3 linked regions of the Stegostoma tigrinum genome follow. The protein of the gene in region 1 interacts with the protein of each later gene in a biochemical or structural test. Links are inferred from orthologs where the notes say so. Each region holds a gene or a part of one and is shown in the gene's direction. Other genes may lie near its edges.

Region 1 (7,421 bases):
CCTCCAGCTCCACACTTCATTATGCTAAAACTTCAGTTCTGTAAAAGCCTCCACCATCAGACGTGAATCCTTATGATCTCTTTCTCATGGTCTTTCAGACAGTCATTTGTGGAAGGGAAAAATCCCAGTGAAGCAACAATATCACTGAAATCCTCGGAGAAGATGGAAGCCACGAACCAGCACTGTTACAGCAAGCCATCTTCCACCAGCACAGATGCATTCACATCAGTACATCATTGAGGGTGACCAGAAAGGGTGATACTGGGTGAGAAGCACATCATGAGTGTGCGCTACAATTTCTTCCCTTCCAGATATTTATACAATACCGCTTTGAAAACTATAATCAATTCTATTTTCATAACACTCAGGTAGTGCATTTCAGATTATAACAACTCATTGAGTAAATTGTTTTCCCTCATGTCATCTTTGTCTCATGCCATTCTGATTCCTGTGGTGACCAATTACTTGTAATGAGTTACTTGTATTTCTGGTAACTGAATGAAAGATTTGTCACATGACAAGATTTTTACTGTAATAAACAAACTAAATTGTCTCAACACTATTCAGGAGACTTCACCGTTGCTACACTATCAGAAGGATGTGGATGCTTTTGAAAAGATGCAGAGAAGGTTTACCAGGATGTTGCCTGGATTTGGGTACGAGGAGAGATTGGATAAATGTAGATTGTATTCACTGGAAAGACAGAGACTGAGGGGCAACCTGATTGAGATCTACAAAATTATGAATGCATTAGATAGGTGGATATTCAGAGGTTACACTGGTGATTTACTGGTGGCAGTTAATCACCAAAATCAAAAAAAACTCATAATGGTTCAGTAATTGAAATAATATTTCAATTTAATTTTAAGAACACAGAACTGTAAAATACTGAACAGCAACAGAAAATGCTGTTCCCTATGTTTCCTGTTAAGTTCATTAGAAATGTGTGGAAGGCCAAAGGTAGGGAAGCCAGAGTTGAATTTGAATGAAGAATTTGCAATAACAAGCCACAAAGATGCAGGGAACAAACCTGTAATGTACCATGAAATGGTCCCTCATTGGTGCTTGGTTCTGCCTAATGTACATGAAACTAAACGAGGTCAGTGAAATCATTAGGAAAGCTGATGTTTCGGGTTGGGATCCTTCTTCTGAAGAAGGTTCCCAACCCGAAACATCAGCTTTCCTGCTCCTCTGATGCTGTCTGGCCTGCTGTGTTCCTCCAGCTCCACATTGTTTTATCTCTGACTCCAGCATCGGCAGTTCTCAGTGAAATCAGCATACTAGGTTGGGGAATGTATATGCAAATTGCACTCTTATTTGAAAGCAGTGTTTGGGGCCCTGGATAGCAGTGCCTATGCTTCAAGGAATTTTCTCAGAGCAAGGGAGTTGGATGTAAGGGTGCTAAGATATCACAAAGAGAAATGCTTCACAAAAATTGATGTGGTGTATATGGATTTCAGCAAGACGTTCGATAAGGTTCCCCACAGTAGGCTATTGTACAAAATGCGGAGGAATGGAATTGTGGGAGATATAGCAGTTTGGATCGGAAATTGGCTTGCTGAAAGAAGACAGAGGGAGGTAGTTGATGGGAAATGTTCATCCTGGAGACCAGTTACTAGTGGTGTACCGCAAGGGTCGGTGTTGTGTCCACTGCTGTTTGTCATTTTTATAAATGACCTGGATGAGGGCGTAGAAGGATGGGTTAGTAAATTTGCAGACAACACTAAGGTCGGTGGAGTTGTGGATAGTGACGAAGGATGCTGTAGGTTGCAGAGAGACATAGATAAGCTGCAGAGCTGGGCTGAGAGGTGGCAAATGGAGTTTAATGCAGACAAGTGTGAGGTGATGCACTTTGGTAGGAGTAACCGGAAGGCAAAGTACAGGGCTAATGGTAAGATTCTTGGTAATGTAGATGAGCAGAGAGATCTCGGTGTCCATGTACACAGATCCTTGAAAATTGCCACCCAGGTTGACAGGGCTGTTAAGAAGGATGTTGCCTGGTCTGGAGGGAAGGTCTTACAAGGAAAGGGTGAGGGACTTGAGGCTGTTTTCATTAGAGAGAAGAAGGTTGAGAGGTGACTTAATTGAAACATATAAAATAATCAGAGGGTTAGACAGGGAGAGCCTTTTTCCTAGGATGGTGACGGCGAGCATGTGGGGGCATAGCTTTAAATTGAGGGGTGAAAGATATAGGACAGATGTCAGAGGTGATTTCTTTACTCAGAGAGTAGTAAGGGAATGGAACGCTTTGCCTGCAACGGTAGTAGATTCGCCAACTTTAGGTACATTTAAGTCGTCATTGGATAAGCACGTGGATGTACATGGAGTAGTGTAGGTTAGATGGGCTTGAGATCGGTATGACAGGTCGGCACAACATCGAGGGCCGAAGGGCCTGTACTGTGCTGTAATGTTCTATGTTCTATGTAAAAGTGGACAGGAGAGGGGAAAATATGTTGGATTATATTGGAGATGGCAGAAATAAGGGTACATGATCTGGCATAGGCTGGTGGAATAGGCAATGAAAGGGACTACACATTTATGGTTTGAAATAGAAGCATATAGAATTTCCCAATTCCTTCGCCTCCACTGCATCTGCTCCCAGGCTGAGACATGCCATTCCCGTACATCTCAGATGTCCTCATTTTTAAAGGACCCCAACTTTCCCCCTTCAATGGTCGAGAACGTCCACATCCCTCAGACCCCATCCCCGCAATAACAACCAAAACAGAATCCCCCTCATCCTCACGTACCATTCCACCGACCTCCAGATCCAATGCATCATCCTCTGACACTTCTGCCACCTGCAATCTGACTCCACCACAAAAGACATTTTTCCCTCCCCACCCTTATCTGCCTTCCGGAGGGACCACTCTCTCTGTGACTCCCTTGTCCCCTCCACACTCTCCTGCAGCCCCACCACACCCGGCACTTTTCCCTGCAACCGCAGGAAGTGCTACATCTGCCCCTACACCTCCCCTCTCACCCCCAAGAAGACTTTCCACATCAAGCAGATGTTCACCTGCACATCTGCTAATGTGGTATACTGCATCTGCTGTTCCCACACTGGCCTCCTCTACATTGCAGAAACCAAGCGGAGGCTTGTGGACCACCTTGAAGAACACCTACTCTCGGTTTGCACTAACAACTGCACCTCCCTGTCGCGAACCATTTCAAATCCCCATCCCATTCCTCAGACAACATGTCCATCCTGGGCCTCCTGCAGTGTCACAATGATGCCACCCAAAGGTTGCAGGAACGGCAACTTATATTCTGCGTGGGAACCTTGCAGCCCAACGGTATCAATGTGGACTTCACAAGTTTCAAAATGTCCCCCCCACCACACCCCAAAACCAGCCCAGCTCGTCCCCGCTTCCCTACCCTGTCCGTCCTCCCACCTATCCCCTCCTCCTACCTCAAGCCCCAACCCCATCTCCTACCTACTAACCTCATCCCTTAACCTGTTTGTCCTTCCTGGACTGACCTATCTCCTCCCTAACTCCCCACCTATACTCACCTTTACTGGCTTCATTCCTCCCTCGTTGACCCATCTGTCTCCTCTCCACCTATCTTCTCCTCTTTCCATCTTCGATCCGTCTCCTCCTCTCTCCCTATTTATTTCAGAAACCCCTTCCTTTTCCCCATTTCTGAAGAAGGGTCTGGGCCTGAAACGTTAGCCTTCCTGCTCCTGTGAAGCTGCTTGGCTTGCTGTGTTCATCCAGCTCTACACCTTGTTATCTCAGATTCTCCAGCATCTGCAGTTCCTACTATATCTTGATTATGGCAAATATAGTTAGTACGGTTTTCTAGGTCAAGCTGATTTAGGAAGTAGCTGATAGGAGCATCATTGTCGTGGTTAACAAAATCCCTAAAGATAGAATTCAATGGAAAAGTTGCTTCAGGTAGGACTGTGTTGTTTTGTAAAGAATGCTGGCGTACAAATAACGGTTGGGTTATTGTTAACGAAAGAATGGACTTGTGAGAGCTAGATATGAATCTGGCTGCTTATGAGTTCCCTCTCAAACTAATATTAAATTTGACTCCTTCAGCCACCTAGGCGTAAGATCCAGGCATATTAACCCCAGACTCCTTCACCTCTCTCTCCCCGTTGACGTCACTGTTTTGAATTCCATTATTTCCATTAAGTTTGCAGTCACTGCTTATTTATCTTTGTTAGCTCAATGTTCATTTGTTCTTGGTGCCTCGGGGAGGTCTTGAGGCCTGGCTGGCACATTAAAAGCGCGGATGGAATGGGAGCTGCACTCCTCCTTTATGAGGGAAACCAGAGTTCCTAATTTGTCCCTTCCTACTTCAGACCTTTGGAAGTTAATTTGCGTTGCCCCTTTAAACGCAGAGCACTATAGAGGGAGCTGTTCGGATTCAGACACAGCCTCAGGCTTGGTGTGTGACCGTGGCGTGTCTGGCGGGCGTATCCCGTCTCTTGTGTGTATATCTGTGTCTGGTTTCGGCTGTCGTTCCCTATTCGCGACCAGCTCAGCCTCAGTGGTTCTCCACCATCTTCATTGAACAAAATACAGGCACGCAAGACACGGACATAAGAGGCCGGAGTGGAAAAGATCTCGGGAACCGACTTGGCGGGGTATAGAAAAGGAAGCGTTTTTCGGCAGTCTCCCACCGAAACCTCTTGCGGTCTTTTGGAGTTTGCACAGGGAGAAGAAAGCGAGGGGTGTGGGTGGCGGAGGGGAAGACAACTTCAATATAATCTAGCAGAAATAAAGCAAAACGGCTTAGGGGGTGGGGGTGCGTAAGGGAGATTCTTTCGGAAGTTGGCAGTGCCTCCGGCCCCCCTCATCCTGAGAGAGTGGCTGGTTTGAGTAGTCCAAACACTTGGCCCTCCACCCACAAACCAAATCCCCTCACATCGGAAGACAAGCGGGGGGGGGGGGGGGGGAGAGAGAGAGAGAGGGAAGGAAGGAAGTCATGATGACCCGCCTGAGGGGAATGAACCTTCGGTAGTGGAAATTTTAGATTTTTTTAAAAAACCACAGCCGCAGGATGAAAAAGAAATAGAGAAATAAATTGAACGGGAGCCAGGCGAAAGAGGGAAATCTAAAATCAACGCCCGACAAAACGAAGAGTTTGCGATGCAGCTCCCAAAGACGGTTTGAGAAGGAAAACACACACACACGAAATCACACGCCATCGGCCGAAAACCTGCGCTTGGAAGGAGTAAATTATTTCGAGAAGATTAAAAGTAAATTTGATCGATCTCGTTTCACTCGAGAGGGGGGAGGGAGAGATAAAAATACCCACGTACTGAAGAGGAAAAATTTCAGGCGACAAGTCTGCGAGGAAATATAGACAAAAAGAGTGAAACAATTATTCCGTCAAGAGGAGAAGAAAAATCATCGTGGTCAAGGGAAGGAGTCGTAGGGTTTTTTCGTTCCCATTACAGCAAGTGAATCCCCCAACCTTGCCCCCTCAACCAACATATGATCGAAGTTTTATCATCAACAGCGATCGAACAAGCGGGAATTTTTATATCTACGCAGATGATCCTGAACATTTTGTTCCGTGATCGCGAGGAGAACATTAGTTGAACAAAAATAGGAATATATTTCATCAATCCCACCCATCCGCGGTTCGTCTGGACGCCCGCGGCTTTTCTTTTCCGCTGGAATTTTTTTATAAAGACAAAAGAACAGCAACAGCCGAGGAATTAAAAGGAAGGAAGTAATAATTCTATTTCTGTGTGTGTCTAACCGGAGCGGGTTGAGGAGTCCAGACCGAGTAGGGCAGGAGGCGAGGAGCTGAATTTTACCGGACCATCGGGTGGTTGTGAGCGCGAGCTGGGCCAGCGGATTTTCAAATCGCGGCCTCCGCGAGGGTATGAAACCGTCGTGAGCTGTCGGCGTGGCGCGGCTGTGCTGTCACTAACAGCCGGGGCTGAACTGGGCCGAGCCGCATTCCCCCTCCTCATTGTTGTACACTGCTTCGCTTTGCCCTACAACACCCCCCAACCACCCCACCCCCGCAACTCCGGGTCGGACATGGCCGCCTCCTTATGCCTGCTGTTCGTCGGGATTCACGCCGCCTGGGTGAACGTCGTAGCCTGTAAGTGACTGGGAAGTATGTTCCCGGGAGTCGAACGCGGGCCAAAGGTGTGGTGGTGGGGAAAGGTTGGAGGAACATTTAAAGAGACTGCGCCAAGCTCGGTGTCGCTTGAATCACTGAATGTGTGGGGGTGGGGGGAGAGTGGGAGAAGTATGTGTGTGGGTGTTGGGGCCGAGGGAAGAGAGGAGAGGGGATCAAGAGGGAAGTGAGTCGAGAAGGACAGGATGAAAGGGAGGAGAGGGTAAGGGACAGAAGTGTGAAGGGGAGAGTGGACAGTAAGAGTGGAGGGGTCGTTTAAACAATGGTCTAGGATTTCTTCCTCCATAAGAGAAAATCACAGGATTTCTGAAGAACGGTCCCGACCTGCAACGTCAACTTTCCTGCTCCTCTGATGCTGCCTGGCCTATTGTGATCTTCCAGTTCTATACTGTGTAATCTATACTGCATTTTACAAGCTTTTTGCGCAGTCGTCAAGGTGTACACGAGTCTGTAAATCTCATGGTCAAGTAGATACGGTAATATAAAATCTGAAACAAAAAAAGAGATTGCTGGAAAAAGCTCAGCAGGTCTGGCAGCATCTGTATAGAAAAATCAGTTAATGATTCAGGTCCAGCGACCCTTCCAGGGGACCCCAGATATCGTAACATCTTTTGTAGCACAACAGGGTCATCTAGTGAATATGGACTGAGACAGACCCGGGGACAGCACGAGGCTGGTGGTTGGGATGGTATCTTCTCAGAGTCAGGTTGCTTGTGAATGCAGCCCAAAGTGGATGGTAAACTCCATCTAAGGCCAAACACTGGCATGAGACTGATAGTCAACAAGTATCGTAAGGAAAGTTGAAAAAAGAACTTTGAAGAATTTTACTTGTCAGGCCATGTGTGGATACTATCCATAACTTATTGCATTTGATCAGGAGTGCTTTGGTATCTGACAAGTCACGAAAATTGTGAAACCATCAAACAAACATCCCAGTTCTGACTTTATGATAGAGAGATGGTTGTTGATGAAACAGCTAAAGATATGGTGCTTAGAACAGATGCTAAGGAACATCTGCAGACATGTCCTGGAACTGAGATGACATACCTTCAGCAACCACACCATCTTCCTATGTGTCAAAGATGACTTCAACCAGGGGAAATTTTTCCCCCTGATTTCCTAATGTTCCTAGGTCTCCTTGATGCCATACTCAATTGAATGTGGCTTTGATATAAAGGGATGTTACTCTTGCCTCGTTCCTGGAATTCAGTAACCGAAGTGTAATGAGGTCAGGAGCTGAGTGTCTTTGGTAGAATCCAAACTGAGCATCTCCCAAGCAGATTATTGCTAAGCAGGTGCTGCTTGATGGT
Region 2 (7,960 bases), on another chromosome or scaffold:
ACTATTTGGAGTTTCATGGTCACTTTTGGTACCAGCTCTTTACTTCCAGACCCTTTAATATAAAACTTAAATTCTCAAACTCCCAAGGTAGAAGTTGAATTTAAAAATGTAAAGATCAAGATCTTTAGTTCATGGCAAACTCCACACCCACAGGTATCGAAAAGAGTCCTCAGCAGCTTGTTCTATTCTTTCGTAATTGTATGCACTACTATATCATCCTATAATTTGTGCTGCTCTAATGTAAATGATACAGTTATTCAGGTCTGTATTCACAGTTGTATTTGCTCATACCAGAAATAACCCTAGGGAATCTGAGTTTCACCCCCTAAAACTTTAATATTGTTTATATAGTGTGGAGTGTGCAATACTACCCACAATTCTGAATGTTTTATATAACTTTTCATTACCACATAGTATTTCAATTTTAAAATTTAATTTAAATATACCGCATGATCAAATCTATAATTCTCTTTGCCTTTTAAATTCCTTATTAATCTTGTTTATTTCTTTTAATAAACTGTAAGCTTATTGCCCAAATACTTCACTTCTTCCAGAACACTGAGCATACTGGATACAGTCACTGTTGATTTTAAAACAAAATGTATCACTTCACACATTGATGTTGAATTGCACTTACCATCATGTCTGCATGTAGCAATTTTCACATTTTGTATCTGAAGTCTAAATTAGGTTTTTGATTCCACATAACATGCATAAGCTTCTTATGGTATAAGCTGTGGTATCTCTACCCCCGGACTGGGAGGCCCCAGATCAGGTCCTCTCTGCTCCAGATGTGCGTAATAGCATCTCTGAACAGGTTGATTAGAAAAAGAGACTACGTTTAAAACAAAAAACATGCACAAAGTACTACTCGTGTCTAAAGGTTGTCTGAAAGTGTTTCACAGCCAATGAATTACTTTGATTGTGTTCACAGTTACATCAGCAAACACAGTAGTCAATTTGTACAAAATCAACAATACAAAAAGAGGAATTCGTCTATTATGGTGGGGTTGGTTAACGCATAAATTTTGGTCAGGACATCAGGCGAACCCTTTGGTAATAGTTTAAAATAGTGTATTGATCTGAAAAGGTAGACATCTGAAAGATGAAAAGCTCTGACAATGCTGCCCTCCCTCAGCATAATGCTGAAGTGCCTGCCTATTTAATTTGTTTAAATTCATGCATTGGGAATTGAGCCTGTGAGCTTCTCCTACAGTTAAGGCTGCTGCCATTTGGTTAAACTAGTCTAATAATCTGTTTTTAACAGTCTCTAATTTTGAATTACTTTTTCATTGAGTACTTTTACTGCGGCTAATAATTGCCCCTTCACTAATAGCAAGCTAAATGAACTTGTACAGAATATTAAAGTGTTTAACTGTAAAAGGTCAGATATTATCCTTTGAAATATATGATATAGGAAGACCAAAACCGAATTCCAAAGTGAGATTAATTGAAATTAAATGTGTTTACCTCGTGATGTATTTGTGCTAATATTAGCAATTTGGCTTAATATTAATTAATTGAAATTGAGAGCAAAGCAGACCGTTATTTAGCATACCACAAGTCTTGGACAAGAGGTTGACAGTAATGGAAATTTTAAGCCGCACATCATTTTCTTTATTTATCTCACTTGTCTATCCTAACACTTCCTAAACTCACTTTATTCCTCTGGCAATAATCTAAAGCTTCCTCCCTGTGTAGCTATTCACCACATCAGCTCCCCAGTGAGTCTACCTTTGTCTTTATCCTCCAACTCTGCTCATCAATTGAATGTCTAAACATGCTTCCACTTTACAACAGCCTGCAGAATATTTGCTCATTTGTGAACAAGACTCCCTGTTCATATCCTTATCCTGGAGGAGTAAATTAACATTCTGGGCTTGACTGAAATCTGGCACACTGCTGTTGATTTTTTCCTTTCATTCGAGAAAAACTCTCTTGGTTCACATTTCATAACATCCCATACTTAGAGGTGTTGTGAAATTTCACCTAGGACTATTGCACATTTCTCTGGCTCCTTCAAAATGTCTCAAAACCAAACGTTTTACCTCTCCTTTGCTATTTACTTCCTCTAGAAAAAAGCAATCTTCTCTCACCCCTGAGCTCATTCAAATTCTCATCTATTCTTAAAATCTACTATTAGTGATAACATTGACTTTTCTATTGACTTTCTCCACAGCTGTCTCACTTATAATCCTGACAACTTCATGTTGGACGGGTCTCTATAGCCACTTCTTGTAAAGTAAATTTTAGAAACTGCAAATTTGAAATGTTACTTAGCGTGCATTAGGAGATCATATTGATGGGATAGGGTGACTTTGTGCAGCATTTTCATCAATTTTTTATGTTAATATTTTGCTGAAAGTAAAGGCCATGTATTTAATAGCACTGGCGATTAGGCCAGCCTACACTCCCATTTGGATAATCCCTGTTTTTCAACATTTGTTGCCTTAGGAGTTTCTGCTAGCATTGAGCAATTGATGTGAACAAGTGGCAAATTTGCTCTGAAAATAAGGCTAGAATTTTAATTTCATTGTGGAGTAATTGTTGACATAAGGGGTAAAAAGTAGTATGTGTTGACTCAGCAATTTGCTGTACACTGCACTACCCTGCAGTTTTTATTTTGAATTATTGTTGAAAATCAATTTAGAGAAAAGCAGTCTTCAATGACATGGTTATATTTGTCAGGACACTAAACACAGCTTTCTCTATGTCTCTGTTTACAATGTGATGAATTGCTGGCATGGTAGGACAATGAATATGACATGTACAAAGGAAAAATATACATACAATATACAATCCGTCATTCTTTGTATGGAAAGGTCTGAATTTATTTAAGAGAAAAAAATAGAAGACCAGAAATGGCCAAGTTTAGTTGAGGTCGAAGGTCCCCAGGATGTTACTGAATAGTTGAGCAGGTTTAAGGAGCTATTTATCCAACTTGCGCTGAGACACCCAGATGGCATCATGATGAAGGAGCATCAGACATTATAACAGATGGAGGCTGCTAGGAGAAGGTTACCTCCCCACTTTCATAGCTGAGGAATGACTTTTACCAAAAGAATAAAAAGCATAAATAATTTACTGAAGCTATCCACTGACTTTCTCTATGCTACTTCTGCAAGATTCTTCTGTTCTTCTGAGTCTGGAACTCTGTGTCCCTTTTCCTGTCAATTCATTCTCATAGCTCTACACTCCTGCAATTCTCTTGCTAAATCCCTCCAATATCATTAAACATCTCCTCAATGTTAGAAGCCTACTCAAAATCTAGCTAGTTAATATGCACTTTGTTACCTTACCTGATGGTCTTCTCACTCAGCACTGACTGCCCTGCGTGACTATTTTAAATCCTCCATCTAAGTATAAATTGTCACTGTAAATACAAGTATTTGGTATATTTAACCGTTTCATGTATTCAGCTCAATTACTGAACTTGCTCAGCTTCCTGATGAAAGTCCTGATGAAAGATTCTGTGCATGTTGTCACTGTTCCCACATTCCAAGGCATAAGGCAAATCCAACTCTATAGTGACATCATTTATCATTGATTAGTTGATTTCAATTCCATCATTTCAGTATCTGAAGAATGATCATGCTGTGCACAATATTTTATCACAGCTATTGATAAATCCTTATGTTAATTCAACCCCTAACTCCATACCTATATAGCTATTTTGCAAAGATGTCAACATAGCAATAATTGTTTTAGCATTGCACTTACTTTCCTAATCTACGTCTAATCTTCAGTTTTACATGCAAGTTCTGTTGTCTCAAATTTGCCACCAGCAGCCTAATTCAAATTATCTTCCTGGTACATACACCTATCACCATTTTGAACAGGATCCCACTGATTCCATTGTTATCCAAACTAAACAAAGTCATTTCCAAGTGTCCAAATAAATTGAGAAAGTATTACTCACTTGGAAGTCTAGGTCCTGGTTTCCAAACAGCTGCTCTGTAATAAACCCTCTCAAGGCTGCAGTGTAAAGGCATCGTTATTTTCGTAAGAAAGTGTCAAAAATTGCATTTATTCTCAGCGTTTGAATAATGACGTAAAACAGTTTGCAGAACATTAGCCACAAATGCTGAAGGTTCTGCCTCGATAAATGTGAAGTTCGTTTACCAAGCATTAAGGTTAAAACATTGTGTCCCTCAAAATTTTACCTTCTCGTCATGGTTTCCTCTCCTAGCTTTCCACGCATTTCTCTTTTCCTTTGGTGGCAAGAACTGACAACACCGTCTCCCTCAAGAATGACTGCGTAAACGTGGCCTAGATTTTAAAGTGAGGATGTTGGTGGAAAATTGACACCTATTTGTCTCTGCTTTGTAGGTATTTTTAATCGCACCTTAAACTGAACTCGTGTAGATATTGTGCATATTGTGGAGACAATCCTTCCAATGCAGCCTTTCCAACGTCCTACTAATCAGGGCACTTCGAAACATTGACTTTCGTCTCGTCTAAAAGCTTTTAACCTTTCGTTAGTTATTCGCTGCTAGCTGGTACTGACCAAAACTAACTTTAAAACATCGTCGTCGTGCTCTGGTTCTATACCCCACCCAACACTACGAATTAACTTTGTAACTGCATTTTCTGCTATTCCTTTTTCTTTCAAACCTATTTTCCCTTGCTCACAGGAAATTTCTGTCGCTCCGGAAGAACTCGAATACAGATATGCGTATTCTGAATAAAATGCAATGCTTCCCAAGCCACCAGTTAACGTGCTGTGCACAACAAAGTTAAGAGAAACGCCACGGGGCTAGTTTAAAGAAAACCGTGAGAGAGGAAAATGCTACTTATTATGTATATACGGTGTTCACGCGCCGTATCGCCTTCGATATGCTGCTATTAGCCACTTCTGCAGGAAGGAAGTGGAATATCATAGAGATCGCATAAGTGAGGCTTTATGAACTCGGGTTAAAATACCACAATGACGTACGTACTTTCCAACAAATTGCAGAAACTGGGCGGCCACTTTATTAGTCGGATTAATTGATAGTTCCAGTTTGGTTTCTTAAAATGGGTCGAATATGAGGGGTTGTTCAAGCGCGTCCATCTCTGGCACCTCAATCCAATCCGTTTTAGATAAATTGAATTTATTGGTTCAAAAATTCTGTCAAGTTCTACCTACAGATGCAGAGGCATTAGATACAATTATTGTGGAGTATACGGACGCGATACTTGCATGGTGAGTCATTTTTAACTCGTGCTGCTATATGTGGTAAACCTGAGATTGCTGTATTGTGCAAATGGGAAAATTACTCAATAAAAATCGGCAATAGTTATTTCACCTACACATTGGCTTCTTATACGTGTAATCTCACGTGCTCCAGTTACCAAAACTCGAGGGCGCTAATGTCAGCCCGGAGTTTCAAAATTCACTTTATAATGAACATATCCACTGGATGTATTTATCGAAATTGGCGGTATTTTGAACATTGACTGACTTATTTTCCTGTGTATAATATTTAGCTGGTTTCATTCCTTGAAAGTTCATTGCCAGTATCGAGTTAGATTTAACTGCCAATGCTAATTTATGAATAATAGTTTTGGAGAAAGACAACTTGTGTTAAAATCGTGTGTAAAACACTCGCAACGTACGTGTTTTGATTCTCTTTGTATTGAAATCGTTGCTTCGATTTTGATTAAATCAGCCGGGAGAGTGATTGAAGATTAACGAGTACGTAAGACAAAACGGATGAGTGCGGTTCAGGCCAGTTGCATTTTTATGCTGAGGTGAGATGCCTGTTTTCTCACTGTAAACCTCGGCAAACCAATTTTCACACTCTATCTGGAAGTTCAAAAGAATTACCCGACATTTAGTGATCTGTGTGAAATGTTTGTGTAATTTGCAGTGCATCGTTAATGCATTTTAGAAACATTTTCATGACGCTTTTAGTGAAAATTGGTGATGGGGTCGTTTAGTACTTATTTGGGAGTTTGTGTTTTGCTGTGAAGTTGTAGGAATGCTGTTGTGTGCGATTTAATATCGTGCATGATTGTGGGGTCTCGACACGACGATACCGGAGTTCCTAGTTTTAATATCCCATTAAATAACTTACAACCGTTTCCTTATGGGAGGTTGACGGCAATATTTGTACACGAAAATTGCCAGTGATATTTCTGTGCAGTGAAACACCGACATAAAAATGGTGTCGCCAGTTTCATGGGTGTTATGGTTGATTAAAAAAATGCGACCATAGTGATATCAATTCTGTCGCATCGATTAGCCGTTTGTTATACAGACTGAAAATGCACACGATCCTTCACTGAATGTGGCCCTGTGTAATGCACAGTGCTTCTATAACAATGCTACTTTTCAGGTGAGTGTTTCTTAGCATTTTCCGTGTTTATTATAGCATTCCCGTGGGTTCATTCTGGCGGAATGTGAAAATCGCATGCCCGGCTGAAGCACCGCAAGGCCATGTGTTAAGTTCCCTTTCATATTCGGCGCGATGCCGAATTCGGCCACTGCAGCCTGAGGCTACGAGCCCTGCAGTGATTGACAGGTGCTCAGCCTCCTCGCCCAGCGGTTTGAATGGGGTCCATGCACTGGCTCGCAGCTTGTGGGCGCTGAAAGGGCGGGGCTTGCCTGGTGATTGACAATGGAGGAGGAGCCCGGGCGACGGCTGGTGGTGGGGGCGTGGCCTAGTACTGTGATTGACAATGCGAGTGTGGGCCGGTAGGGTAACTGACAGTGTAAGAGTATGCCCAGGGGTGTTGACTGGGAACGAGGGGGCCTGTGGAGTCATTAACACTAAAGAAATGGGCCTGTAGGGTGATTGATGGTGAAAGTGTAGGTCTACAAAGGGGATAGACAGTAAAAGTAGGCTAATGGGTGATTGACAGTGGAGCAGCAGGCCTATAGATTAATTGATTGATGGTGAGGCGGTGGGCATCTCTGCTCTCTGATGAAGGGTCTCGGCCCAAAACGTCAGCGTTTGTGCTCCTGAGATGCTGCTTGGCCTGCTGTGTTCATCCAGCTTCACACTTTATCAGTGGGCATGTAGGGTTGTTGACGGTGAAAAAGTGTGACTATGAAGTCATGAAGTGCTTTGAGAGGCTGGTCATGACCCACATCAACTCCAATCTCCTGACCTGCCTTGATTCTCTGTAGTTTGGCTACTGACATAACAGGCCCACAGAGGATGACATATCCCTAGCCCTGCACTCATCTTTGTTGTCTAAATGTGCCAGGGATATCTATGGCAAACTCTTTCTTGTGGACTATAGCTCCACCTTCAACACCATTATCCCCTCCAGATTTATTTCAAAACTTAGTGATCTTGATCTCGGTTCTGCCCTCTGTAACTGGATCCTCAGTTTTCTGAACCACAGGCCGCAATCAATGAGGATAGCTAACTGAACCTCCTCCTCAATAACACTCAACACTGGAGCCCCCGAAAGGATGCGTCCTCAGCCCCCGACTGTACAGCCTGTACATCTATGACTGTGTTGCCAAATCCTGAAAGAATGCCATCTACAAGTTTGCTGACATCACCATACTAGGATGGATAGCTAACAACGATTATTCAAAATACAGAAGGGAGATAAAAGGCTTGGTGATGTGCTGCAATGAAAACAATCTGTCTCTCAATGTCAGCAAAACTAAAGGTCCAATCATTAATGTCAGAAAGAAAGGAGGAGAATACGTCTCCATCTACATCAAGGGAACTGAGGTCCAGAGAGAGTGAAGAGCATTAAATTCCTCAGTGATGATAACGGACAACCTGTCCTGGACTTTCCACATAAGTGTGACAGTCAAAGAGGCAGAATAACGACTCCTTCCTCAGGTGGCTCGAAATTTGGCATGGCCACAACATCCCTCACCAACGTCTACAGGTGCACCATTGAAAGCATAATGTCTAGGTACATAACAGCCTGTTATGGCAACTGCTCTGCCCAGGACTGTAAGAAACCACAGAAGGTCGTGTGCAAAGCCCAGAACATCACAGAAGCCAAT
Region 3 (7,136 bases), on another chromosome or scaffold:
ACTTGCATTGGTGTAATTATCAGAGAGGACCTTATTTCAGGAAGTCAGGATATAGAATCAGTTCAGTTGGAGATGAGGGATATTGCGGAAAAGAGTCACGAGTCGGAGTGGCCCAGGTCTCTTCACAATGATCATGATGTAATATACAAGAAGGAACACTGTGTTCTTGTGATGCAGTTTCACTGAGAATCACAGGAGGTTTTAATATACATAATACACCAGAAAAAAATCAGTGTGGCCATCTGGGATTTACAGGTTGCTTTTGGAGAATTGAACCACATTTGCAATGGATCACCGTGGATCTTAACAGGCGATAGTAGTGTGCAGTGTCAGCAGGCTGGTAACCAAGCCCTCAAGCCTGCAGAGACATGTGTGCAACCAACCAAGCGATAGTAAGAATTGCCAATGCTAGACTCAGAGATAACACAGAGTGGAGCTGATGAACACAGCAGCCCAGGCAGCATCAGAGGAGCAGGAAAGCTAACGTTTTGGGTCAGAACTCTTTTTGAAGCTGAAGAAGGGTCCTGACCCAAAATGTCAACTTTCCTGCTCCTGTGAAGTTGCCTGGCCTGCTGTGTTCATACAGCTCTACACTGTGCAATTAACTAAGCCTCATTAGCTGTGAGACCTGTGATCAAATTTTACTGACCCTTGCTTTGACAATTAACAATTCATATCACTCAGTAGTAATTGGGTGCTGGTCATCACTTGCTCAACTGATTGACTGGCTCACAACTTCAACTAAAATTTCATTTTGACTTGAGTGCTTTCTGTTTTCTCAATTGCCAGCACTATGCTTATACCTTGGCTACATTCTGGTTCTAGAAAAGGTCTTTAACCAGTGAGAGCACAACAAAAACAGTCTGAACTTGAGTTCGGGGTGTCCCCAGACAGCAGCAACGGACAATGCCCTCAGTATCCTTGTCAATCCTGACAGGAGATCTAAATAAGAAAAACAAACTGGAACAGGACACTGCCACCTACACACTCCACATTCAGGCCCCATTCCAGAGGCTTGAGTACAGAATCTAGCTGAAACTTTAATGTGGTACTGAGGGCATGCTGTACGTTTGGCTGGTGTAGCTTAATGCTACACCAAACTCATAACTAAGGCATCAGTTGTAAAAAATAGGTCAGCATTGGCCAAAGAAGTGATGGGGAGTTCTTCCTGGTGCCCTGACCAATATTTAATCCTCCAACAGTTTCGCAGAAACAGAAAATCAGGTCATCATCATAGAGTAATACAGCATGGAAACAGACCCTTCGGTCCAAACACTCCAAGGCTGTCAGTAATTCCAAACCAAACTAGCCCCAGCTGCCTGTGCCTGGCCCATATCCCTCCAAACATTTCTTATTCATGCAATTGTAACTCAAACCCCTCATTCCCATCAGCATCCTGGTAAATCTCTTCTGAACCCTCTCCAGTTTATTAATGTCCTTCCCACAAGTGGGCAGCCAGAACTGGACACAATATTCCAGAAGAGGCCTCACCAACATCCTGTACAACCTGAACGTGACATCCCATCTCCTGTACTCAAATGTCTGAACGATGAATGCAAGTGTGCTAAATTTCTTCTTAACCATCCTGTCTGTATGCAAAGCAAAGTTCAAAGAATTATGTACCTGAGCCCCCAAGGTCTCTGTTCTACACAACGCTCTACTTTTAGTTGTATAAGCCCTGTCCTTGTTTGTCTCACCAAAATGCAAAACCTTACATTTATCCAAATTAAACTCCACCTGCCACTCCATAACCCGCCGACCCAATTGATCAAGATCTCTTTGTACTCGTAGATAACGCTCTTCCCTGTCTACTGAACCCCCAATTTTGGTGTCATCCACAAATTTAATGAGTATGCCTCCTTACATTCTGATCTAAATCATTTATATAAATGATTACTTGATTGTCTGTGGGAGCCTTCTGTGAGCAAATTGGCTGCTGTGTTTTCTACATTATGTTACGCTACCGTGAAATAATCTATTAGCCGTAACGACGTCTGAGATGTTCAGAGGCTCGGAAAAGTGCTATTGAAATGCAAACCCTTTTCTTTCTGTAGAATAGACTGTTAGACAGAGAGAGGGTGTATGATGATCTGGGATAAAATGTTCAACAGAAGGTCTAAGGGTGACATTAAACGTTATACAAGCAAATATCTGCAGATGCTGGAAATTTGAAAGTAAAATATCAAATGCAGAAACATTTGGCAGCAATCTGGCAGCAATGGTGGAGAGAGAAGCAAGAATAATGTGACAGGCTGGGTGTATTTAAATGGTCATTGGATAAACATATGGATGATAATGGGATAGTGTAGGTTAGATGGGCTTCAGATTGGTTTCACAGGGCGGCACAACATTGAGGGCCGAAGGGCCTGTGCTGCACCGTAATGTTCTATGTTCCATATCTACTGGAGTTGAGAAGAATGAGAAATGATCTAATTGAAAACATATAAGGCCCTGAGGGGACTTGACAGGGTGAATACTGAGAGGATCAGAAACAGAAACAAAAAAATTCTGGGGAAACTCAGCAAGTCAGGAGCATCCATGGGCAGAAATCAGAGTTAATGTTTCAGGTCCATTTCCTCAGAATGGTTCTGTTTTTCTGCTTTCTCTCTACAGATGCTGCCAGACCAGCTTGGTTTTCCCAACCATTTCTGTTACTGATTTCCAGCATCTGCAGTTCTTTTGCTGTTTTTGTTTGATATTGAGAGGAGGATTCCCCCTTGTGATGTAGACTAGAACCAAGGACCCTCCAAGTTAAGAGGGAGATGAGGAGGAATTTGTTACCTCAGAGTCATCAGTCTTTGGAACTCTTCCACAGAGGTAGTTAAAGGGAGTGATTGAATATTTTTAAAGAAAGATTTAGATAAATTCTTGATATTAAGGGATTCTAAGGATGTGGGAGTAGGAGTTAAGGGTGGGGGTGAAGTCAGTTGGAAGAGAAATCAGTGTCAATGTCACAAACAGAATAACCATGATTCTATCAAATGCAAGAGTAGGCTTGAGGGGCTGAATGGTCTCCTCTGAATTTGTATATTGCTATACAAAGTAACCATAGGCCCAGAGGGCTTCTTATTAGAGAGAGAGAAGGAGAGGTCTGGTGCTCATTTAATCTGAGGGTCACCATGTGTCAGGGTGAGGGAGGAGGTGGAGAAGGAGAGTCCTTCATGGTAACCTCAAGCTCTGTAGGAATTGAACCCATGCTTTTGTTTCTATTGCAAATCAGCCTTCCAACTAACTGAGCTCAGCCGCAGGTCTGCAACCTTACACCAGAATTGAGAAATCGTAAGAATCACCAAATCATAAAAGATCAAGGTCCATGTTGTTCACAGTCTGCCTTCCTGGTGTGCACAGATTGCATGTTAGTGGTCTAATTGGAAAGAGTACAGAAGACGTTTACAAGAATTGTTCCAGAGATGAGAGACTCAGTGATGACGAAAGTTTGGATGGGTTGGGGCTGTTTCCCTCGGAGAGTTGAAACTGAGTTGCCAAAATAGGGGTGATGCAGTGGCTCAATGGTTAACACTGCTGCTTCACAGCACCAGGGACCCGGGTTCAATCCCACACTTGGGTGACTCTCTGTGTGAAGTTTGCCTGTTCTCCCCTCGTCAGCATGGATTTCCACCCAAAATCCAAAGATATACAGGGTAGATGGCTTGGCCATGGGAAATGCAGAGTAACAGGGAGGGGTAGGTCTGGGTGGGATGCTCATTTGAGGCTTGGTGAAGACACGATGGGCCAAATAGCCTGCTTCCACGCATTATATTCTATGATTCTAATGATGCTCATTTGGAGAACTAGTGGATGGGCTGTGTAGCCCCCTTGTGCACCATAGCATATCAGTGAATCTGTGACCCACAAACCTGTGATGGGGATGTGAGAGGGTGAATGTTACCAACTGAGCCTGGTTAGCACTGACTGCTGAGTCACTGGGGTGCGAGCACTAACTATTCACACTCGTCGATCAAACTTATCTTGCAAATAAACAAAATAATTCATTTGAATATGATGTAGTGGCAACTCACTTTATACACAAATACTAACACGCACAGTCTCAGGCCACTCACATACAGGAGGTCACTGCATTGAGACTTGACTATATTCTATCCCAGGTAAGAAAGAGGTTAATAATTGAATGCTTCAAACAGTAATTTCTATGATACACAAGGGAAATATTTAGCTCATCCCGAAATTCCAGCTTATTTGCTTGAAATGTTCCAGCAACCTTTAATTGTGTAAACGTGTTTTCCAATAAATGACTCAGATTGTGCTCCATCAGGTGAGAGCAGGGTAGGGTTTGGATATTCAGAGTAGTAGTGGTTAACTTTTTGTTTCAGCTTCTACCTGTCAGCAGTGTGCTAGACTTCCACAAGAGTTTCTTTTTCTAAATCCAAAAGTGAATTTCCGCTTTTTTAGTTTGATTCTTTGCTTTTTTCCCCCCTTTGTGTGTGTGTGTGTGTGTGTGTGTGTGTGTGTGTGTGTGTGTGTGTGTCTGTGTGTGTCTGTGTGTGTGTGTGTGTGTGTGTGTGTGTGTGTGTGTGTCTGACAGAGTGAAGTTTCACCACCTCAACATTTCTCAGGGTGACATTTTGAACTGAAAGGAAAAGTTCTGATAGGTCATGCTGCAAATACATTACAAAAGTTCAGTAAATGTTTCTGAAAGTTGCAGCAAAGCAAGTTGAGAGAGATGGGGGAGGATTGAGGCACAGAATAAGAGGGAGGAAGTGAGGCAGAGATAGGCATAGACAGAGAGAAGTTGGGGCATGCAGGAGAGGGGAAATGAGAAAGGGGGTGAGGGGGAGAGTGAGAACAGAGGGGTGAGGGTGAGAGTGGGAATGGCGATAAAGTGGAGGGGAGCTGGAGGAGGGAAAGGAGAGAGGGTAGAGGAGAAGGGGAGGAGAGACGGGGCATGAGTAAGTAGTGCAAAAGACAGAAGGGATGGGTGGGAGAAAATGGAATTGGTGAGAGTGAAAGGGATGGAGAAGGCAGAGTGTGGTGGAGATGGGAAAGATGGAGTTTAATTTAGATAAATGTGAGGTATTGCATTTGGTAAGACAAACTGGCAGGACTTACACAGTTAATGGCAGGGCAGTGTAGAGTGTTGTCAAACTGAGGGACCTAGAGGTGCAGGTCCATAGTTCCTTAAAAGTGGCATCACCAGGGAAACAGGGTGGTGAAGAACATATTTAGCACGCTTGTCTTCATTGGTCACAACATTTGACTGTCATTGGGACATCATGTTACAGCTGTACATGACATTGGTAAGGCCACATTTGGAGTACTGTGTACAATTAGATCACCCTGCTATTGGAAGGATGTTATTAAGCTGGAAAGAGTATGAAAAGATTTACAAGGATGTTACTGAGACTTGGAGGGTTTGAGTTATAAGGAAAGGATCGACAGTCTGGGACCTTTCTCCCTGGAACATAGGCAGCTGAAGTGCAACCTTATAGAGGTATATAAAATCATGACGGGCATAGATAAGGTGAATAGTCAAAGTCTTTTTCCCAGGGTAGGGGAGTCCAAAACTAGAGGGCACAGGTTTAAGGAGAGCGGGGAAAGATTTCAAAGGGACTTGAGGGGCAATCTTGTCACGCTGAGGCTGGTGTGTGCATGGACTGAACTGCCAGAGGAAGTGGTGGAGGTTGGTACAATTATAACATTTAGTAAACATTTGGACAGGTATATGAAAGATAATAAAATGTGAGGCTGGATGAACACAGCAGGCCAAGCAGCATCTCAGGAGCTCAAAAGCTGACGTTTCGGGCCTAGACCCTTCATCAGAGAGGGGGATGGGGAGAGGGAACTGGAATAAATAGGGAGAGAGGGGGAGGCGGACCGAAGATGGAGAGTAAAGAAGATAGGTGGGGAGGTAGGGAGGGGATAGGTCAGTCCAGGGAAGACGGACAGGTCAAGGAGGTGGGATGAGGTTAGTAGGTAGCTGGGGGTGCGGCTTGGGGTGGGAGGAAGGGATGGGTGAGAGGAAGAACCGGTTAGGGAGGCAGAGACAGGTTGGACTGGTTTTGGGATGCAGTGGGTGGGGGGGAAGAGCTGGGCTGGTTGTGTGGTGCAGTCGGGGGAGAGGACGAACTAGGCTGGTTTAGGGATGCAGTAGGGGAAGGGGAGATTTTGAAACTGGTGAAGTCCACATTGATACCATATGGCTGCAGGGTTCCCAGGCGGAATATGAGTTGCTGTTCCTGCAACCTTCGGGTGGCATCATTGTGGCAGTGCAGGAGGCCCATGATGGACATGTCATCTAGAGAATGGGAGGGGGAGTGGAAATGGTTTGCGACTGGGAGGTGCAGTTGTTTGTTGCGAACTGAGCGGAGGTGTTCTGCAAAGCTGTCCCCAAGCCTCAGCTTGGTTTCCCCAATGTAGAGGAAGCCGCACTGGGTACAGTGGATGCAGTATACCACATTGGCAGATGTGCAGGTGAACCTCTGCTTAATGTGGAATGTCATCTTGGGGCCTGGGATAGGGGTGAGGGAGGAGGTGTGGGGACAAGTGTAGCATTTCCTGCGGTTGCAGGGGAAGGTGCCGGGTGTGGTGGGGTTGGAGGGCAGTGTGGAGCGAACAAGGGAGTCACGGAGAGAGTGGTCTCTCCGGAAAGCAGACAAGGGAGGGGATGGAAAAATGTCTTGGGTGGTGGGGTCGGATTGTAAATGGCGGAAGTGTCGGAGGATGATGCGTTGTATCCGGAGGTTGGTAGGGTGGTGTGTGAGAACGAGGGGGATCCTCTTAGGGCGGCTGTGGCGGGGGCGGGGTGTGAGGGATGTGTTGCGGGAAATACGGGAGACGCGATCAAGGGCGTTCTCGATAACTGTGGGGGGAAAGTTGCGGTCCTTAAAGAACTTGGACATCTGGGATGTGCGGGAGTGGAATGTCTTATCGTGGGAGCAGATGCAGCGGAGGCGGAGGAATTGGGAATAGGGGATGGAATTTTTGCAGGAGGGTGGGTGGGAGGAGGTGTATTCTAGGTAGCTGTGGGAGTCGGTGTGCTTGAAATGGACATCAGTTACAAGCTGGTTGCCTGAGATGGAGACTGAGAGGTCCAGGAAGGTGAGGGATGTGCTGGAGATGGCCCAGGTGAACTGAAGGTTGGGGTGGAAGGTGTTGGTGAAGTGGATGAACTGTTCGAG

Evidence for each region.
Region 2: the proteins of bmpr2b (region 1) and bmp4 form a complex in vitro, tested with the Homo sapiens proteins (2 studies listed by BioGRID). The link is inferred for Stegostoma tigrinum from reciprocal best matches to the Homo sapiens genes BMPR2 and BMP4.
Region 3: the proteins of bmpr2b (region 1) and gdf5 form a complex in vitro, tested with the Homo sapiens proteins (2 studies listed by BioGRID and IntAct, with this or other methods). The link is inferred for Stegostoma tigrinum from reciprocal best matches to the Homo sapiens genes BMPR2 and GDF5.

Annotation. Positions count from the first base shown.
Region 1 is NC_081360.1:7,394,548-7,401,968, forward strand, and holds the start of bmpr2b (bone morphogenetic protein receptor type-2), read left to right. Parts: upstream 1-4,388; 5' UTR 4,389-6,008; coding exon 6,009-6,072; intron 6,073-7,421. UniProt on the Homo sapiens protein: On ligand binding, forms a receptor complex consisting of two type II and two type I transmembrane serine/threonine kinases.
Region 2 is NC_081363.1:47,120,814-47,128,773, reverse strand, and holds the start of bmp4 (bone morphogenetic protein 4), read left to right. Parts: upstream 1-4,956; 5' UTR 4,957-5,185; intron 5,186-7,960.
Region 3 is NC_081372.1:8,448,475-8,455,610, reverse strand, and holds the start of gdf5 (growth/differentiation factor 5), read left to right. Parts: upstream 1-4,043; 5' UTR 4,044-4,106; intron 4,107-7,136. UniProt on the Homo sapiens protein: Growth factor involved in bone and cartilage formation. During cartilage development regulates differentiation of chondrogenic tissue through two pathways.